3 linked regions of the Arabidopsis thaliana genome follow. The protein of the gene in region 3 interacts with the protein of the main gene of each other region in a pairwise test. Each region holds a gene or a part of one and is shown on either strand. Other genes may lie near its edges.

What was found.
Region 1: the proteins of AT3G52050 (region 3) and AT4G10470 interact in a two-hybrid assay, tested with the Arabidopsis thaliana proteins (one large-scale study listed by BioGRID).
Region 2: the proteins of AT3G52050 (region 3) and AT5G58720 interact in a two-hybrid assay, tested with the Arabidopsis thaliana proteins (one large-scale study listed by BioGRID).

The regions. Positions count from the first base shown.
Region 1 is NC_003075.7:6,474,092-6,478,412, reverse strand, and holds AT4G10470 (uncharacterized protein), read right to left. Parts: upstream 2,430-4,321; 5' UTR 2,305-2,429; coding exon 2,109-2,304; intron 1,962-2,108; coding exon 1,126-1,961; intron 1,039-1,125; coding exon 904-1,038; 3' UTR 880-903; intron 777-879; 3' UTR 530-776; downstream 1-529. Other genes in the region: AT4G10480 (Nascent polypeptide-associated complex (NAC), alpha subunit family protein), read left to right, coding at 1-324; AT4G10465 (Heavy metal transport/detoxification superfamily protein), read right to left, coding at 3,276-3,598, 3,694-3,769.
Region 2 is NC_003076.8:23,719,166-23,724,766, reverse strand, and holds AT5G58720 (smr (Small MutS Related) domain-containing protein), read left to right. Parts: upstream 1-1,591; 5' UTR 1,592-1,792; coding exon 1,793-2,432; intron 2,433-2,621; coding exon 2,622-2,647; intron 2,648-2,771; coding exon 2,772-2,858; intron 2,859-2,954; coding exon 2,955-3,025; intron 3,026-3,346; coding exon 3,347-3,573; intron 3,574-3,826; coding exon 3,827-3,903; intron 3,904-3,976; coding exon 3,977-4,033; intron 4,034-4,117; coding exon 4,118-4,185; intron 4,186-4,270; coding exon 4,271-4,377; coding exon of another isoform or gene 4,378-4,433; exon of another isoform or gene 4,434-4,497; coding exon 4,498-4,568; coding exon of another isoform or gene 4,569-4,658; exon of another isoform or gene 4,659-4,662; coding exon 4,663-4,791; 3' UTR 4,792-5,072; downstream 5,073-5,601. Other genes in the region: Mik (pfkB-like carbohydrate kinase family protein), read left to right, coding at 1-327, 964-1,140; ROC7 (rotamase CYP 7), read right to left, coding at 5,272-5,410, 5,582-5,601.
Region 3 is NC_003074.8:19,303,120-19,310,173, forward strand, and holds AT3G52050 (5'-3' exonuclease family protein), read left to right. Parts: upstream 1-1,766; 5' UTR 1,767-2,039; coding exon 2,040-2,234; intron 2,235-2,463; coding exon 2,464-2,677; intron 2,678-2,764; coding exon 2,765-2,844; intron 2,845-3,055; coding exon 3,056-3,094; intron 3,095-3,214; coding exon 3,215-3,233; intron 3,234-3,962; coding exon 3,963-4,016; intron 4,017-4,675; coding exon 4,676-4,803; intron 4,804-4,882; coding exon 4,883-4,951; intron 4,952-5,065; coding exon 5,066-5,151; intron 5,152-5,281; coding exon 5,282-5,391; intron 5,392-5,570; coding exon 5,571-5,621; intron 5,622-5,705; coding exon 5,706-5,764; coding exon of another isoform or gene 5,765-5,812; exon of another isoform or gene 5,813-5,855; coding exon 5,856-5,900; intron 5,901-5,990; coding exon 5,991-6,065; intron 6,066-6,156; coding exon 6,157-6,279; 3' UTR 6,280-6,532; downstream 6,533-7,054. Other genes in the region: AT3G52030 (F-box family protein with WD40/YVTN repeat doamin), read left to right, coding at 108-197, 355-497, 567-651, 742-1,108; AT3G52040 (2,3-bisphosphoglycerate-dependent phosphoglycerate mutase), read right to left, coding at 1,249-1,377, 1,464-1,516, 1,593-1,683.

The DNA.
Region 1 (4,321 bases), on a different chromosome or scaffold from region 3:
GTGTTCAAGAGTCCGAACTCTGAGACCTATGTGATATTCGGTGAGGCTAAGATTGATGACATGAGCTCTCAGCTACAAGCACAAGCTGCTCAGAGGTTCAAGATGCCTGACGTTGCGTCTATGATCCCCAACACTGATGGTTCTGAAGCAGCCACGGTTGCACAAGAGGAGGAAGACGATGAAGATGTTGATGAGACTGGTGTTGAAGCCAAGGACATTGATCTTGTGATGACTCAAGCCGGTGTCTCGAGGCCCAAGGCTGTTAAGGCTCTTAAAGAGAGTAACGGAGATATTGTTTCCGCCATTATGGAACTCACTACATAGGTTTTAGTGAGTTGCAAAAGACTTGTGATGGTTCGTCTTTGTTGCTTCATTTCTGATTCGGTTAGCAATTTTCTCGAACATCTCTGTTTCTCCACTTTTTTGAGGCTATTTCTTTTTACCTTTCTCTGAGCCATAAACAATGTTGCTTCACATCTATAATTTGAGACGTTTATGTCTAGTGTTGTTAACTCTTTAGCAAGAAAGATTGATGAGTAATCTCTTTACATATATTCATTGAAATGTAGCTTCAAAATACAAATTTGGTTCAAGAAACAAAGCTAGATTTGTGTATAAAGTATTTCAAGTTTCTACAACACAAAATACAGATTCAAGTCTTTGTCTAGAATTGACATGAGTGTCCCTCTTTTCGACCTACACATACATTTGCTAGCAAAACTTCTCTAGCTAGTAACACCGCCTCGATTCAGCCGCTTGAATTTCTACACGCTAACCTGCAAAATCGAAAGCAAACGCTCAATAGGACCTCATAGAAAGAGAAATCAATCTTTGACATTGTTGCTATGAAGTAAAAAAGTTAGGATGATCTGATGTCACCTTATATAACTCTTCACTAATTGCTCAAGATCTTGCTTTTGAAAGAAATGTTTCATGTTCCATCAACGATCTCTCTGCCTTAGCCTTGAGCCATAAGCTTTTATAAAAACACACCTCTGGGTTGATTTGCTCTTCTGTTTGATGATGATTTCTTATAACCTGCACATTGTGATAACGATGGTCTACAGGCTTTAAAACCGAACAAGAATGCTTCGATGATCCTTAAAAGTAGTCAAGAGAACATACCTTACGCATATTAGGCAACGAATATAAATCACATGAACTATGTACAGCACTTGCATAATCCCCACTATGCTCCTGAACTCTGTTATTGATATAGGAGTTGAGATTCTGCACAGTACAGTTGATGAGATCAAGATACTGCTCATTTGGTAAATCCGAAGTTTCTGAACTGTGTACATGTGTTAGCAACTCTGACAATCCATGAATCGTCGTAAGTAGTTTCTTAACATCCACTTTTTGAGATGGTGATGATGTGGAACAGCCATGTCTATCACCAAAGTCATTTGCAGCTTGGTTTACCTCACAGCCATATACATTTTGTTTATGATCTGCTAGTGAGAACCGAGGAGCCAGAGGATTTAGCTTCTTCCGACCATGAGACTTGTTGCTGGACCTATCCAATCTTGTATTAGAGTATCTATTCCTTAAACTGCGGTCGACCACTAAAGAATGTGTCCCAACAACCTTAAAAGTATTAAGCAACATACTGTCTGAAGAACTTACACCAGAAGTTGAGCCAACATTTGTCTCCATAGTTAACATGTGATCTGCTGCACCGTGCTTCTCACTTAGTTTTGCACAAGCAGGAACAAAAACAGGAGCTAACGGATCCAGCTTTTTAGACTTTTGGAACTCGTTGCTAATATCTAACATACTCATAGTGTTGGAAACACTATCTTGAGATACTAAACCCAAACTCTCATCTGCATCATGGATCAGGACGCCTATTCTAGTGTTTTGGTTGGAACTGTTTACTTCAATTTCTCTCCCATTCTTGTTTAGGTTCTTCTTAGCATTGAATGGTAGAAACTGAGGTGCCAAAGGATTCAATTCTTTCCCTACACAAGTCCAAATAAATCATTCACAAGTGTCATAGAAGAGCACATTACAGTAAATTCTCTCCTAAGGGATTCAAGAAACTCTTACACAACACATAACAAGAACAAAACCATAACATTTCAAGAAAGACAAAAAAAAAAAAAAACCTTTAGGAACAGTGGTCGCATCATTATCATCATTGGGACTAATCTTGTGGTCTTCGGATGTTAAGAATGAGAAATCGAAAGTGAAATCACTCCATAAAGAATCTTCAGGATCAGATTCAGAAGCAACGAAAGAAGAAGATAAGGAAGAAGAACTTATAGGAAAAGGAGATAGACTACTACGATCACATTGCTTCATGTTTTCTTCTCTATGGATTCGAAATTTTGTTTGTGGATAGAAAGAAAGAAGGGAAGGGATTTTGCAGAGACGACGAGCTTCATCAACCTTGTCCTACCCTTTTCACTGTGCTATCTGTGATTAGTGATTACCAATGTTTTCTAAACCAAACTCCGACAGTAAACCGGACTACATTTCGGTTCAACCGGATTCGACCATTGCTTGATTGATTATAATTTATTTAATGTAACTTATGTAGTTTTATAAAAGTAAAACTAATTATACCATATTTAACAAAAATATAAAATCATTTCTTTTTGTTCAAACTAAAATATTAAGTTTAACAATATTACAATAATAATGAAGTGATTATTTATTTTTTACTATAACCGAATAAAATAGTATAAAGATAATGATCGGTCACCAATGATAAAAATAAACTAATTAAACATCTTTAAGTCAATACAAATAATTTCTATCAAGCTGATGACTTACTTACTTTCTTTCAAGAAAATTGATTCAATAATTAGACTAACCCGAAAACGTTTTACTTTAAAAAGATATTGTACTCAAAATTAAAATTGAAAGTCTTCATAAAATGTTTCATGAGAGACCAAAAATTTCATATCTTACATAATATTATTGCAAAACACATTTGAGGGAACTAAAAATTCAGAAAATACAAATAAATAATTAACTTAAATGGAGATCAAACTCATTACACATCGAAAACGATATATAGAACAAAAACATATTAGTGTTGCACAAAAAAAAACATATTAAAAACTGAAAAACAACAACCATGAAATGACATTTGCAAAAGTGAATTAAAGATAAATATAAGCAATATGACATTTAACCACTATAAAATGACGTTTCTAATACAAGTAGGGAACACTGGACTTCTCTTATTCTTTTATAGTATTACTAGTACAATATGATAATAATTACAGTTTACTTCTCCACAAGTTTTAAGTCATTACGTATGTAGTTTACATGAGACGGCATGCATTAACGTTATCGTCATTGAACATATTACTAACCCTGTCGTCTCCACGAGAACCTACGGGGATATTACCATGTTGTTCTGTACCATTGTAGCCATGTCTATAATAGTTATAGCTCTCTTTAAACTCTTTCGAAGGATCTACGAAATAGTTTTGAGTAGATGTGAAGTAAAGTGGAGGTTCAGGGTATGGCGAAAACTCAGCTCTCTTCCCCGCTCGCCTCACGGCTTTGAGTACTTTGTTTCTGTCAACATAACCCACCACTCTCACTCTTCCTAACTCTTTATCCACCTCCACTGAGTCAACTCCTAAAATTTAATCAAATTCATTACATCTAGTCTCTTTTTTCGTTCATTACACTAATCTTGTCTTTAAATTTTAAAGCAAAGCAATTAGTTGTTACCTCGGAGTTTGGAGATCGCGTTCCTAACGATCCTGACGCAACCAGTACAACACATTCTTACCTTCAGCTCAACCGTCTAGTAGTCCACGAGCCACGAATGTCAAACTCAAAAACTTTAGTTTTCTTATGAGAACTTTGGATATAAATAAAAAAAGTAGTATGGTATATACTATTATCAAAATGATCATTAGTAAATTATTAGCACTTTGAAAACTAGATGATTGTGTAGGAATTGACATTTAAATCGAGATAATTTAATCATGGCTAGTGTAAAAGGGAAGGTAGAGAAATATGTGGAAGGATTCCAAGTGTGGTTCGCATCGATATAACACCAAGGATATAAAACTTTATTCTATATGCTAAGAAAATTTTGCATTCACATGTATAAACGTTTATTTTTTCTTTGAATATAACTTAACACTAAATTCAAAAAAAATAAAATATAAACCAATCGGTTCTGCAAATATCAGCTTTTCAAATGTCATTAATTGGAAAGCTTGACTATTAATGGTATAGTCCATCAATGATTCGTTTATCAAAAGAATTTCGTTTGTTTTGCTAATCTTCTTATTCTTTTGTTTTTTGAATATTATGTAAAATTATTCGGAAAAAAACTGTTTTACATCAA
Region 2 (5,601 bases), on a different chromosome or scaffold from region 3:
ATCTTGCATCGAATTGGATTCTTGAAAGCTTCGTCAGACGAAGCTCTTTTCATGGATGTTGAACAAATGAAGCACTTGTGTTGTGTGGTGGTGACTAATGGTGAAAAAGGGTGTAGGATTTATCATAAGGATGATGAAATGACGGTTCCTCCGTTCTTGGCGAAGCAGGTGGATCCTACCGGTGCCGGAGACAGCTTTCTCGGAGGTTTGATTGTTGGGCTTGTTGAAGGTTTGACTGTTCCTGATGCTGCATTGTTAGGGAACCTCTTTGGTTCCATCACTGTAGAGCATATTGGTCAGCCAAAGTTCGATTTGATGATGCTTCAGGTTTGTTTTTTGGTCTCGTATTAGCTTACTGAATTGCATGCTGTGAGAGATTTGCAAATCTAATAGACAGTAGTAAGAACTTTTAGAGCCGATGATAGTGATATGCAAATGTCTTTAACATAATCCTAGCAAAAGAACTCTGTTACATCTTGCAGCTTACTTTCAATACAGCCAAACCTATATCTTGCGGGTGAACTAGAATCTGTATTTGATGTTGATAGGTTTCCAATCTGAAAATGTGTCAAATCTTCACAGTTGTTGTTTGAGATTCTGTCGAGTCACAGCTGCTGAGAGAGTCTTTTCTTGTTTTACTTCATTGTTAATCTAGGAGCAGTTTCATTCAACATAGGGTAGATGCAGGAAAAAGTGTTGTTTAAGCATTCACCGAACAATGTGGTTAAGCAATTAGAGAATTCAAAAGTATGGATCTCTTGATGTATTTGCGAGTGTTTCTGTGTATCTCTTGTAGTTGTATCTGTTGAAATGAGGGCGTTATTGGATAATAATTGAACCATTGGCTAGTGCAAGTGAACATTAAGCAAATTAGAAGATTTATAGCGTTTGTGTTTGCACTGCACAAGGATTCATCCCTTTCATCGGTTATTTCTATGTGACATATGTCTTTGTGATTTGCAGAAAGTCAAGGATGAGGTACAGAGAAGGAAGAAGCAGTGTAACATATCTAGCAGCCATAACAACGATCACAACGAGTTCCATGAGCGTCTAAGTCCAGCTCGGTTTTCATGCGTAGACTCTCAACTTCAACCAAAGTTATTGGTCAATGGTCACTCTTGTGATGATCGGTCCCTGTGAATACGAATCTTGAATCACCTTTTTTTTACTAACAAAGCTCTTCTGAGTTGTGTAAGCTTGCTTCAACACGTTGATGAATTTTGGAAATTTTAATGTATAAAACGCGTTGACCAGCGTCTTCAAACGCTCTTTCTGGTCGTTCCCGCAAAGTTTGTTTATCAACTCCGCGTTTCAAAATTCGAAATGAAGATGTCAAATTTTGTTTTAAAAGTTTTGGATAAGATGATTTGCTATTCGCATGTTGCCACATTATCTAGTTAATATAAAAACCAAAAACAAATCTGAGATAAAATTACGAAAGTCAACGTGGGAGATCTAATTTTGACTGGTGCATAGTTGAACCGGTTCAATATATGTACAATCAGGAGGAAACCGTGTTCGGTGTTTGATTCGTGCGCGTGGATTTAAAACGTGGTCACGATCAGGCGCGTGGATTGACGTGGCGATTCCGATTCCCAATCAAAAGTCTGGACGAGCAAAAAATTTCCTCTGATATTGGCATCTCCATTACTAACTCCTGATTTACGGTTAAAACGCCTCTTCCCTCTCTCCGACGCTTCTCGTCGGAAATCTGGGTTTAAGTTTCTTCTGCAGATCGGAAGAGATTCTATTGAAGCGGCGTTGACACGATTTCATCTATAATTGTACGATAATGAAGCAGAAGAACCAGCATAAGAAGAAGAAGAAGCGATCCTGCGCCGCGAAACCTTCCGGTGATGGAACGACGTCGGACGGGAACAAAAAAGATGTGGAGGAAGAGAGGAAGGACGGTGAAGGAAAGAGGGAGATAGAAAACGTTGGAAAAAATTTTATCGAATCGTTAATGGAAGCCTTTTGCTCGGTTTCAATGGAGGAAGCGATGGCTGCTTATAAGGAAGCAGGCGGAGATCTGAACAAAGCCGCTGAGATTTTATCGGATCTGGTGGAAAGCGGTGATGATCCGTCGACGAGTTCGGTGGCGAGTGGTTCTTCGGGTCAGGAAACAGCGTCTACCTCTGAGTATGGGGCAGGGTCAAGTTCTAGCTGTAGCGAAGATTTGACTAGAGATAGATGGTTTAAGGGAAGCAAGCAGAGTAGAGTTATTGCTGCTACAGGGATGGTTTCTTCTGTGATTGCGAAGGATTACTTGAAGCCAAACCCTGTGCGAAAAGAGTTTCCTATGATGGAACGGTCTAAAGAGCTCTGTGGGAACGGGAAAAAAGCTGCGGATAGAGAGAAAGCTGAACAGTTCTTAAGTTCAATGCTTGGAGATGATTGCGAGCTTAGCATGGCTGTTGTTAGAGATGTTTTGTGTGAGTATTTCTTCTTCTTAGTCAGTTAATTTTTCCATGGGAGAAGATGTTAGTAGAAAAGTATGATCCTTAATAGTTATAGGATTACGTTTTAATGTGTCCGCGATATTCGAAATATAGCCGTAATAATGTTATGAGGAGAGACTAGATTGTTCGATGAATTGACATGGAAGTATCTATTTTTTGTAGGTCAATGTGGCTATGATGTCGACATGGTAAGCAGAGATTGTCTTCAAACTTACATGGGGAAGTATTTAGTATATTGACAGGGAAGCTCCTGAAATATGCTGATACTTGCCCGACTATTTATTTTAAAGCTTAATAGCGTTTTCTTCTTAGGCTTTGAATGTCTTGCTTGACATGTCTTCTTCATCAACTGATGATTCATTGAGTGGTAAATGTTTCGGCATAGGAGTCAGCGATAGTGTAAGTGATTGTTTTTTTTGTTAATCTTCATAGATCTGTTTATTTTGTTTTCTTACACGATAAAATAAAGTGCAATCTCCTGACATTATTTAACAGCTGGCAGAGTCATCTTTTGATACTGATACTTCTGATTGTGAACTTTTCTGGGGTGGAGACTATAGTCAAAGGTACTTCTATTTGCTTCTTAGGCTTTCATCTTGTTATTGCAATTCACTGATTTTGGAATTATCAGAGTTGATTTACACGTTAGTTACAAGATAACGAGCTCTCTGCAACCTCTCCTTATCTTTTAATTAGTCCTTATCCTCTTCTATGAAAGAACAACAAACGAACTATTTCATGGTGGAGGATTCAGTTCATGAACACATGATATCTAAATTACTCATGAGACCGCCAAAACTTACATTATGATTTCTTAATTTCAACATTGTGGACGAGGTCAAAACTAAATATCTGGCCTTTTTTTCTTTTCTTTGTCTGAATGGTAGGGACTACGCAAAAGCTCTCATGAGTTCTCAAGATCCTTTTGCAACTACCCAAGGAATTGATGAGCTTGGTCTTCCACAAAAAGTGTTGGAGTCTCTGTTCAACATTCGCCAGAATCCTAAACATGAATCAAAGACAACGAGTTGGAGGAATGTGGCAAAGAAAATGCAGTCACTTGGCATTGATGCTTCTTCATCTAGTGGGGAAGAGCCTCACCCTAATACGTTTGGTACTTTACTATGGTTTCTTGATTTTAGTATTTGCGTATATAGCTGCAAATAGCATGCTCAATTTGCCATGAGTTTGCCGGCTTCGAGCTTCTGATGTATGTTGTTTTACCTGATGAAACACTTGGCAATTTTTGCTTTGGTGTCATTGGCATAAACATCTGAAGTTTTGACTGCTTGTTTGTGTTGCAACTCTTGAATCAATCTTTCTTACTCATGAATTGCATTACCAATCAATCAGTACGTGTGTTGCAGTGAAGGATGACAGTTATCATGAACTTAGAAAAGGTGCAAATGACCAGTGGAATGTTACGAAGTCCTACTATCAAAAAGTTAGTTTTACTTGCTTCCATATATCTGGCTCTGGTAGACTCCTCAACTAATGCATTTATTAATTGGTTTAAGGCTGCCGAAGCATATTCGAAAGGAGGGAGGGCTCATGCGGCTTACCTTTCTGACAAGGTGCATATCACGGTTTACATATATCATGGTATCATGGCATTTTGTTTGACAGTATGACAGAAACTTGTGTTGTTTTTCTTTTAGGGAAGAGTGGCATCTAAACAAGCTCAACGGGCTGATGAGAGGGCAAGCCAAGATATATTCGTTGCAAGGTTAGCTGTTTTGATGCATTATCAAAGTATGCTGATGCGCTTAAACATTTTGTGGTGGACTAAGCCATTGTTTATGACTATGCAGAAACAAAGGTATAGAGAATGTGGTAACCATTGATCTGCATGGTCAGCATGTTAAACCAGCAATGAAGCTACTGAAGCTACATCTCTTATTTGGATCATATGTTCCTTGTGAGTACTTAGCAAACTCAATTATAAGTCTTTTCTTCTTTAGTAGATCATCATAGTCAGATCTTGTCATCATAAAACCCGAGATAATACCTTCCTCCTAACAATTGTGAAATCATCCAGCCATTCAGACTCTACGAGTGATCACAGGATGTGGAGCTTCTGGGTTTGGGAAGTCTAAGGTGAAACAATCAGTAAGTTTCTTCAACGCCCTTTCACAGCAAAACCGGAGACAAGAATTTAGTATTGCAGTCATGGTATATGATTGTTATTTATGGATATGATCAGGTGGTAAAGCTGCTAGAAAGAGAAGGAGTTAGGTATTGTGAAGAGAACAGAGGGACACTGCTGATCAAGCTTGACGGAGGTAGTAGAGAGTTCAGTTTCTTAGACACAGAGAGTGACTCTGATGAATAAGTGATAACTAAAACTAAAGTCAGGTTTTAGCTTTAGATCTTAAAATTTATGTCGATTTTGTCTATATCTGATGCTAGCTCTCTGTTGTTAAGTAAATGTTGGGCAAAACTTAGCTTCCTTCTTTTTCCTTTCCGTATTTCACGTTATTTAAGTTCTGAAAACACTTTGTCTGACACAGACAGAATGTATATTTTTCGCTAACTCTTCTTTAGGAGTTTACTGATATATATATTATCGTGTAACTTCTATAAATTCTACAAATGTTGACAATGCAAAACGGCATAAGTGCAGAATTTTTGCTACTGAAAGACATTTGTGTATAAAGTCAGACATAGCTCGAGCTAGAAAGCAGACGAAAGAAATAAAGCCGGTAGAATCTTTCATAAAGTAACCAAGACACTCGTTTTAACACAAAAGTCATCAAGCACACTAGAGCTCACATCAATGGATGATCAGATGGAGAAAACTAGAGTTGTTGAGTTACAGGGGAAGCTCACCACTGTCTACAATCACCACTTTACTCTTAGGAGTTCCACTCTGATTTCCTTCAGCTTCGACTTTGTACACCACATCCATTCCTGTCACTACCTTCCCGAATACCACATGTCGCCCATCCAACCTGCAAACTTTCTAATCAGCAGACGGAAACAACATATCGACAATTCTATCCATAATTGAAACTCTTAAGCTTAGAAAGTAGTAACCTGCCCACACAATTGTCAAACAACTTGAAAGTAAAAGATAAGAAACTGGCTTTATGTGTTTGAAATTCAGATGATTCTGTACTCACCAGCTGGTTGTTACAGTTGT
Region 3 (7,054 bases):
AAAAGTCGGTGTGATACTTCAACATGGCTACCTAGCCCCTCTGCCCCTGTAAGGTTGTTGGCTTCTCTATCCACACTGATAAGTTGTATGTTTTCTTTTTCAACCAGTTACATTGACCCAGAAGCTGTAGTTGGATGCGAGGATGGAACAGCTCGTGTATTTGATATGTACAGTAAGACATGTTCACAGATCATTAGGTAAGCTATGTATTATGTGTCTGTTGTGTTATGGAACAACACAGTGAAACTGGAAAAGAACGGTTTTTCATTATCAAAATTGTTTACAATTTCTTTTGAGAAAGCTAAATCACAATTTTCCTATCAGATTGGTTAATAACTATGTATGTAATTGCAGGACTCAGGGTGGGCCAATAACATGCTTATCTCTAAGCGATAATCAACTATTTCTTAGTGGGTCGTCACTCGGGAGAGTAACAGTATCTGACCCTTTGATGGATCAACCAGTGGCCACTCTTAAATCCACGATAACTGCAGGAGGTAAACTCAAACTCAATGTCAGATTGCATCTCCAGTGACATTTCTTAAAGCAACCTCCATTCTCTACAGGTATACAGACAATCTGTTTTAACCAAGGCACTAATCTCGCCTTCATTGGAACAACTGGTGGATATGTTTCATGCTGGGACCTCAGGTATGTTAAAATAGTCGTCTAAGGTTTTTTTCAAAGATGCAAGTTTTAATTCACTATCTTAAGACGTTATAACCAACTATTATCTAACAGGAAAATGGATAGATTGTGGGAAAAACGAGTGAGTCCTAATGTCGTGTACTCAATACAACAGCTAAGGAATGACACATCGGTTATGGTAGCTGGTGGAATAGACGGTGTGCTGCGTATGATTGATCAGAAGAGTGGAAGGGTTTTATCTAGAGTTATAATGGACGATAAATTCTCCACAACATCAACAAGGAACAACCAAGTGGTGATAGAGAAAAGAAGAGGAAAAAGAGTTTCTCAAGACATGGAGATTGATAAAATCGAAAGGAAAGTTCGGCCTCAAATCAGTTGCATAGCAATGGGGATGAAGAAGATGGTAACGGCTCACAATGGTAAATGCATAAGTGTATGGAAGTTCAATCTCTCGTAAAGTAACAATAAACTTGTTTGTAAGTGACGAAATTGGTAACAATAGCATTATAAATGATTGATTTAAAGACAAAACCGATTGGATTGTGTAAGAGCTACAAAAGTTGAAACACTGGAAACAAAAAAAGAAGGGTTTGTTGTCTATTTGGCGGATTTCTTGGATGGCTCAGGTTGAGATTCAGCTTTGATGATATTGAGTTGACCACCTTCTTTACAAGCTGCATTAGTTGCTTTCACTTCATTGCAATGGTTTATGAATTTCGTAAGCTCCTGCTCCACACAACACCAACCAATAACTCACAATTAAAGATCCAATCGATTCAGAATTTAGGGAGATTGAAGAATATAGAAATTACCCGATCAGTGTCCATCTCTTTCGTCATCTTTGTTGGTTTCACATTTCTCTTCCCTGGAACAAGAAGATGATAAAATCTGAGAAATCAAAATCGAAAGGGATTTGTGTGAAGTAAAAAAAAAGTGAATACCTTTGCGAGTTTGAATGGATTTGCCATGGCGATTAGGAGCAATAGTCTTCCTCTTCTGTTGGCCCTTGAACTGATTGCTCTTCTGCGTCATCTTTGGATCGTCGTTTCTAGCTAGGGTTTTCTCTTCTGTCGAAGGGTTTTTGTTGTAATAGAAGAAGAAGAAGAACAACAATCAAAAGCCTATATAATGGGCTCTTAAGGCCTTTATTTATATGGGCTGATTAATTATTGGGCCCAATTTGGAGTTTTCTAAATTCAACTCTGCTAAATTTTTGGGAGGCAGAAGATTTTGTTCCGAGGAAGACACGGATACGCAGAAAGCGGTAAAATCCTCCTTCTTCGTCGTCCTTGTAAAAACCCTTTCTCATTTTTGGAAGGTTCTTTCAAAATCCTTTCTTCGATTGCTTTCGGATTCTCGCTCGCTTCTTCGATTTTTGGTTTTGATTCATGGTGAATGTGTTTCCTCCGCTAAGGTTAAACGCTCTTCTTCTTCATGACAGTACTTTCAGTGACGTCATGACGCTGCATCTGTATCATCACTCCCGTTTTCTATGGAGGAATCTCTGTTTTCCTCGGAGTGTTGGAAACTTGTGTAATCGGAACTGTTCTCTCATCTCTCCTTCCCTTGCACGCTCTGCGAAGGTGATACTTGTACTTGTATCGTTCAATTCTGAGCTATTTAGATGTGGTTTTTACTCTTGTTATGTAGTCTACATCTGAATCATGGCTCTGATTAGTTTGATATACAGATTTTCTGAATCAATTGAATGTTTCTTTCGCGACATTTCTGTTTACTATAAACTCAAAATTGATCTCTGAAGGATACTTATTATTTCGTTCTAATGTTGATATAAACATTTGTGGTACACAGTACTATTGCAGTTCCGTAGCTGTTTCTGAATTCTCAAATGAAGCAGCTAGTGGCAGCACATTGACTTCTATAAGTGAAGATGTTACGCCACAGTCGATAAAATATCCTTTCAAGTCAGAAGAAAGAGTAGCTAGTACTGCTGCTTCTTCAAATGGCAGAGTGATGCTTATTGATGGGACATCGATTATATACAGGGCTTATTATAAGCTTTTAGGTAATTCTGCTACTCATGTGTACATCAAATGTTAATTTTTTTTCCTCCCGATCTCACACTTATTGACATTTGATTGGGCATGTGCAGCAAGGTTGAATCATGGTCATCTGGCTCATGCTGATGGAAATGCGGACTGGGTTTTAACAATATTTTCATCTCTTTCTCTTGTAAGTGATATCTTGAGTATTGTTCTCCAGATGTTCATTTTTACTGTACTTAAATCTGATGGTTGAGAAAAGCTTCTTGTAGCATTAACGATGGCTGACCAAGTAATCATGGTTGCGTATAATTATGTTTCCTTAAGGCTAAAGTTTATCTTTCTTGTTATAACTTTCGCATTCGACTTCTTACCTTGTTTCATTGTGTTCTCATTTTCAGCTGATTGATGTTTTGAAATTTCTCCCATCCCATGTGGCGGTAAATTCCATTATCCATTTAACATCGCATTTCTTTATATCTGTGATGATCGAATGAAGTTCTTGTAGTTTTCTTAATGTTGGATAGCCCCTACTGACTTAATTAACTGTGTCCATGCAGGTGGTGTTCGACCATGATGGTGAGTCCTAATGTAATAGTCTTCTATAATTGGTTAAATTCATGGACGTCTATCTACTTCATGTGGTGATGTAGGAAGAATTCAGGTTTTTGGGGACTTTTAGTGTCTATAGTTAACCACTTTGAGTGTGCCTCTCAGATGATTTAAACTAATTCATTGATATAAGCCCTTATTTCAAACTCTATAGTTATGGCCTCTATACTTCCTGATTTTAATTACTCAAGTATGTGTATGATTTCCCCTTATCAATTGATGCTAATTGCTCCTCTAGTCATCTATAATTTTGATTTTCATCATCCTCTTTCAGATGAATAGATAAATAATTGTCTTCAGCTTGTTGAATGTTGTTGCCCGAAAACTTAGATTATGTTGAGTGTTGATGTTTTCAACTTCATTTGTATCATAGTGAATGGATAAAAGTTTCAGATTTCAACTTCTGGCCACTACTGAGAACATTTATTCGATAGGCCTAAGAGTAAGCAGGTGGAGATCTAGATGGTGATATATTGACCAAAATTGATTACTTAATCTTGATAATCATTACTGTACTATTTATGGAATATTCCACTAAGTTATCTAGAAAAGCTTCTAGTAATGCATAATAGTGGTAATCTGACAAATATCATGTAGTAATCATGGTTATGTCATATGTGAGGCAAGAAGATTAAATGCTTTCTGGACCTATACGTCTCTAGTTACTCTTTTTTAACAAAATAGAGCCTTTTTCAGGAGTTCCTTATGGCACTACTTCTAATTCATCTACAGGTTATCGTTCTGCAAAAGGTAAGCTCCATGTCCTTAGTCAAACTAAAGTAATTTAATTGACAGTATAAGAAGTGGTCATTTTTGCATGAGAGTTTAGTTAGTATGCTGACTCGATGGTGATGTATGTAATATCATCGCCGATGATCTCCAATTGCTATACAAGCCTTCAGTATATTGCTTCTAAATATATAAACTTGCAGTTTGAACTGATTTTCTGCTGTGTGCCTAGGAGAAATTATTCCGGAAATTATGGCTTACTTGCCAAGGATGATATTTGAAGTGAAATGCCAACTTTGTCTTCCTTTGGGTGTTTTGCTTGCCGCTTTTGGGCAGTCATAAACTTTGGTGTAGATAACAGAGGGTCGGTCATATGCGCTTCCATGGCGGTCTTTGGCTATTTGTAAAATAAACTTAGGTCATATCCAATGATGAACGTAGGTCCAGTATGCTTGATGTCTTTTGTTGTTTCCGTTCTGTACATACTGACATAGATATGCATATCCAATACTCTCTTCTTTCTACGTGATGGGTTCACTTGGCTGCTCAAACTGTAAATTTTAGGCTTTTTGGCACTCTAAACCTCGACATGATTCTCCCTTGTCTTTGCGCAGAGTGTGAAGGATTATTTTTATGCATCAGTATCAAACCTATCTTTGTTCATGTTTAAATTTTTACAGGCATGAACTTCCGTCATACTCTCTACCCAGCATATAAAAGTAATCGTCCTCCCACACCTGATACCATAGTACAAGGACTTCAATATCTCAAAGCGTCCATCAAGGCAATGTCTATAAAAGTTATAGAGGTAAATCATGCACATGATTGCCATATTTCCTTTCATTGTGATGATTTCTCACTAATGGGCAGACATTCCATGAAGACAGGTGCCAGGTGTAGAAGCTGATGATGTTATTGGAACACTGGCTATGCGAAGCATTAGTGCCGGTTTCAAAGTACTCATTTTCAGCTATTCGAGAAGTGTTCACTACTTATTGAATGCTCAGGGTCTGTTCAATTTGTCCTTTTCCTAGAAGTGGACTGATCATTTGTTTGTTACCCCTTTACAGGTCCGAGTTGTCTCTCCAGACAAAGACTTCTTTCAGATTCTTTCTCCCTCGTTGCGTCTTCTTCGACTAACACCACGCGGATCAGAGTATGAAATTCATGTTAGATGGATAATTGCCTCATTGTAGAATTTTGCGTATTATGAAACCATAGTTGCTCTTTGTATCCTGTATGTTTTTTCCACTCAGTTGTGTCAAGGCTACTGCTTCTTGTGGCAGGATGGCTTCTTTTGGAATGGAAGATTTTGCTAAAAAGTTTGGAAATTTGGAACCAGCACAATTTGTTGATATCATCGCCCTTGCTGGAGACAAGTCTGATAATATTCCAGGTTAAGCCCACTTCCTCTACCCCTCACGAAATTGTTAATTTCTGGGGATATTCCTTTCATAGCCGCATTTTGTGTATCACAGAAAAGTTGAGCAAAAGTGCACAATCTACATACAAACGTTTAGCCAAAGTGCACACAGGAAAGGGCTAAAGTGATCTAATGATGTTTGTGTGATGCAGGAGTTGATGGTATTGGGAATGTGCACGCAGTGGAACTGATATCTAGATTTGGTATTCACTGAGTCATGCTATATTCTTTGATTTCATTGATTTGCGCCCCATGTTTCCTATTACTCACTTTTATTGCATTATCAGGCACGTTGGAGAATCTGTTGCAGTCTGTGGATGAGATCAAAGAAGGAAAAATAAAGGAGGTGAGTGAACAAGTGTTGCAGAGGTTAGGCAAGCTAGTGCTTCTGTGATATGCAAGGCCTAATATTATAATCTTCCTTGTCTTTGCAACAGTCTCTAATAGCTAGTGCGGATCAAGCCATTCTTAGCAAGAAATTGGTAGGTTTTCCTGTTTTTCTTTCATACTTTCATTCATTTATTCAGTTGTTAAGTTCACAAGGTAGGGATGATGAATTGTGTTAATGGCAGGCACTGTTACGGTCTGATCTCCCAGATTACATAGTACCGTTCGACACGAAAGATCTTACTTTTAAGAAACCAGAGGTTTGTATTTGTATGACGATATACATCTACTACAATAGACTAACTGAAAACAGAAAGATTAGTAACAGAGGATAATTTGTGAAATGTACAGGACAATGGTGAGAAATTGAGTAGCCTGTTAATCGCGATTGCGGATTACGCAGAAGGATTTTCAGCTGATCCAGTCATCAGAAGAGCTTTCAGGTTGTGGGAAAAACTGGAAGCAGTGCCATGATGATATTTTATGCATCTTTTTTCTTACTCGTTTCTTTGTATTGGGTACATAAAATAGAGTAAGTTCAAGCCAAGCTTAGAAAGTTCTCCCACAAAACATTAAAGCGATACTTTCACAATCCTTTTGTAAAGCATGCTTTATTGTAACTATGGAGAATGATGAAGTTGATGCTAATTTAGAATGCTCCTCCATGGGAGGTTCCATTACATAAAACACAAGGGAGATGATAACTTCAAGCTAGCCTCTTCTGAACACATCTAAAATGCTGTCTGAAACTCTGTTCACTTTGCTAAAACAAGAATCTCTTCTGTCTTTTAGTTGAATAGGTAAACTAACGTTAATATCATTTACTATTATTAGTATCCGCTAAATTGATTATAAAAAAAGGTCAAGTTAATGCCTCATGGAGACATATGATGATGATGATCAAAGTAAATTATAAACTAAGAAGAAAATATTCGTCTCTATTGAATTAATTATGTACATTAGTGACAATAAGAACTAAAAATATTCTAAACAAATTAACAATGAAAGAAAAGAGACAAGGTACTAAACTAGTACGTAAATTAGTAGACAAACTCCTTCATTGGATCTCAAACCAAATCGAAAACCAAGGACCAAGGTAGCATTATGCTTTTGATGATGGGGTCTGAAAGTGTGTTACCACTTACCACCTTGTGACAACTTTGGAACACTGAGTATTGGTGAAACCACTACTCAAAGCTTAAGCCCGTTCGCACAGTGACCCGGCTTTGAGCTTATGAAATAATGGACT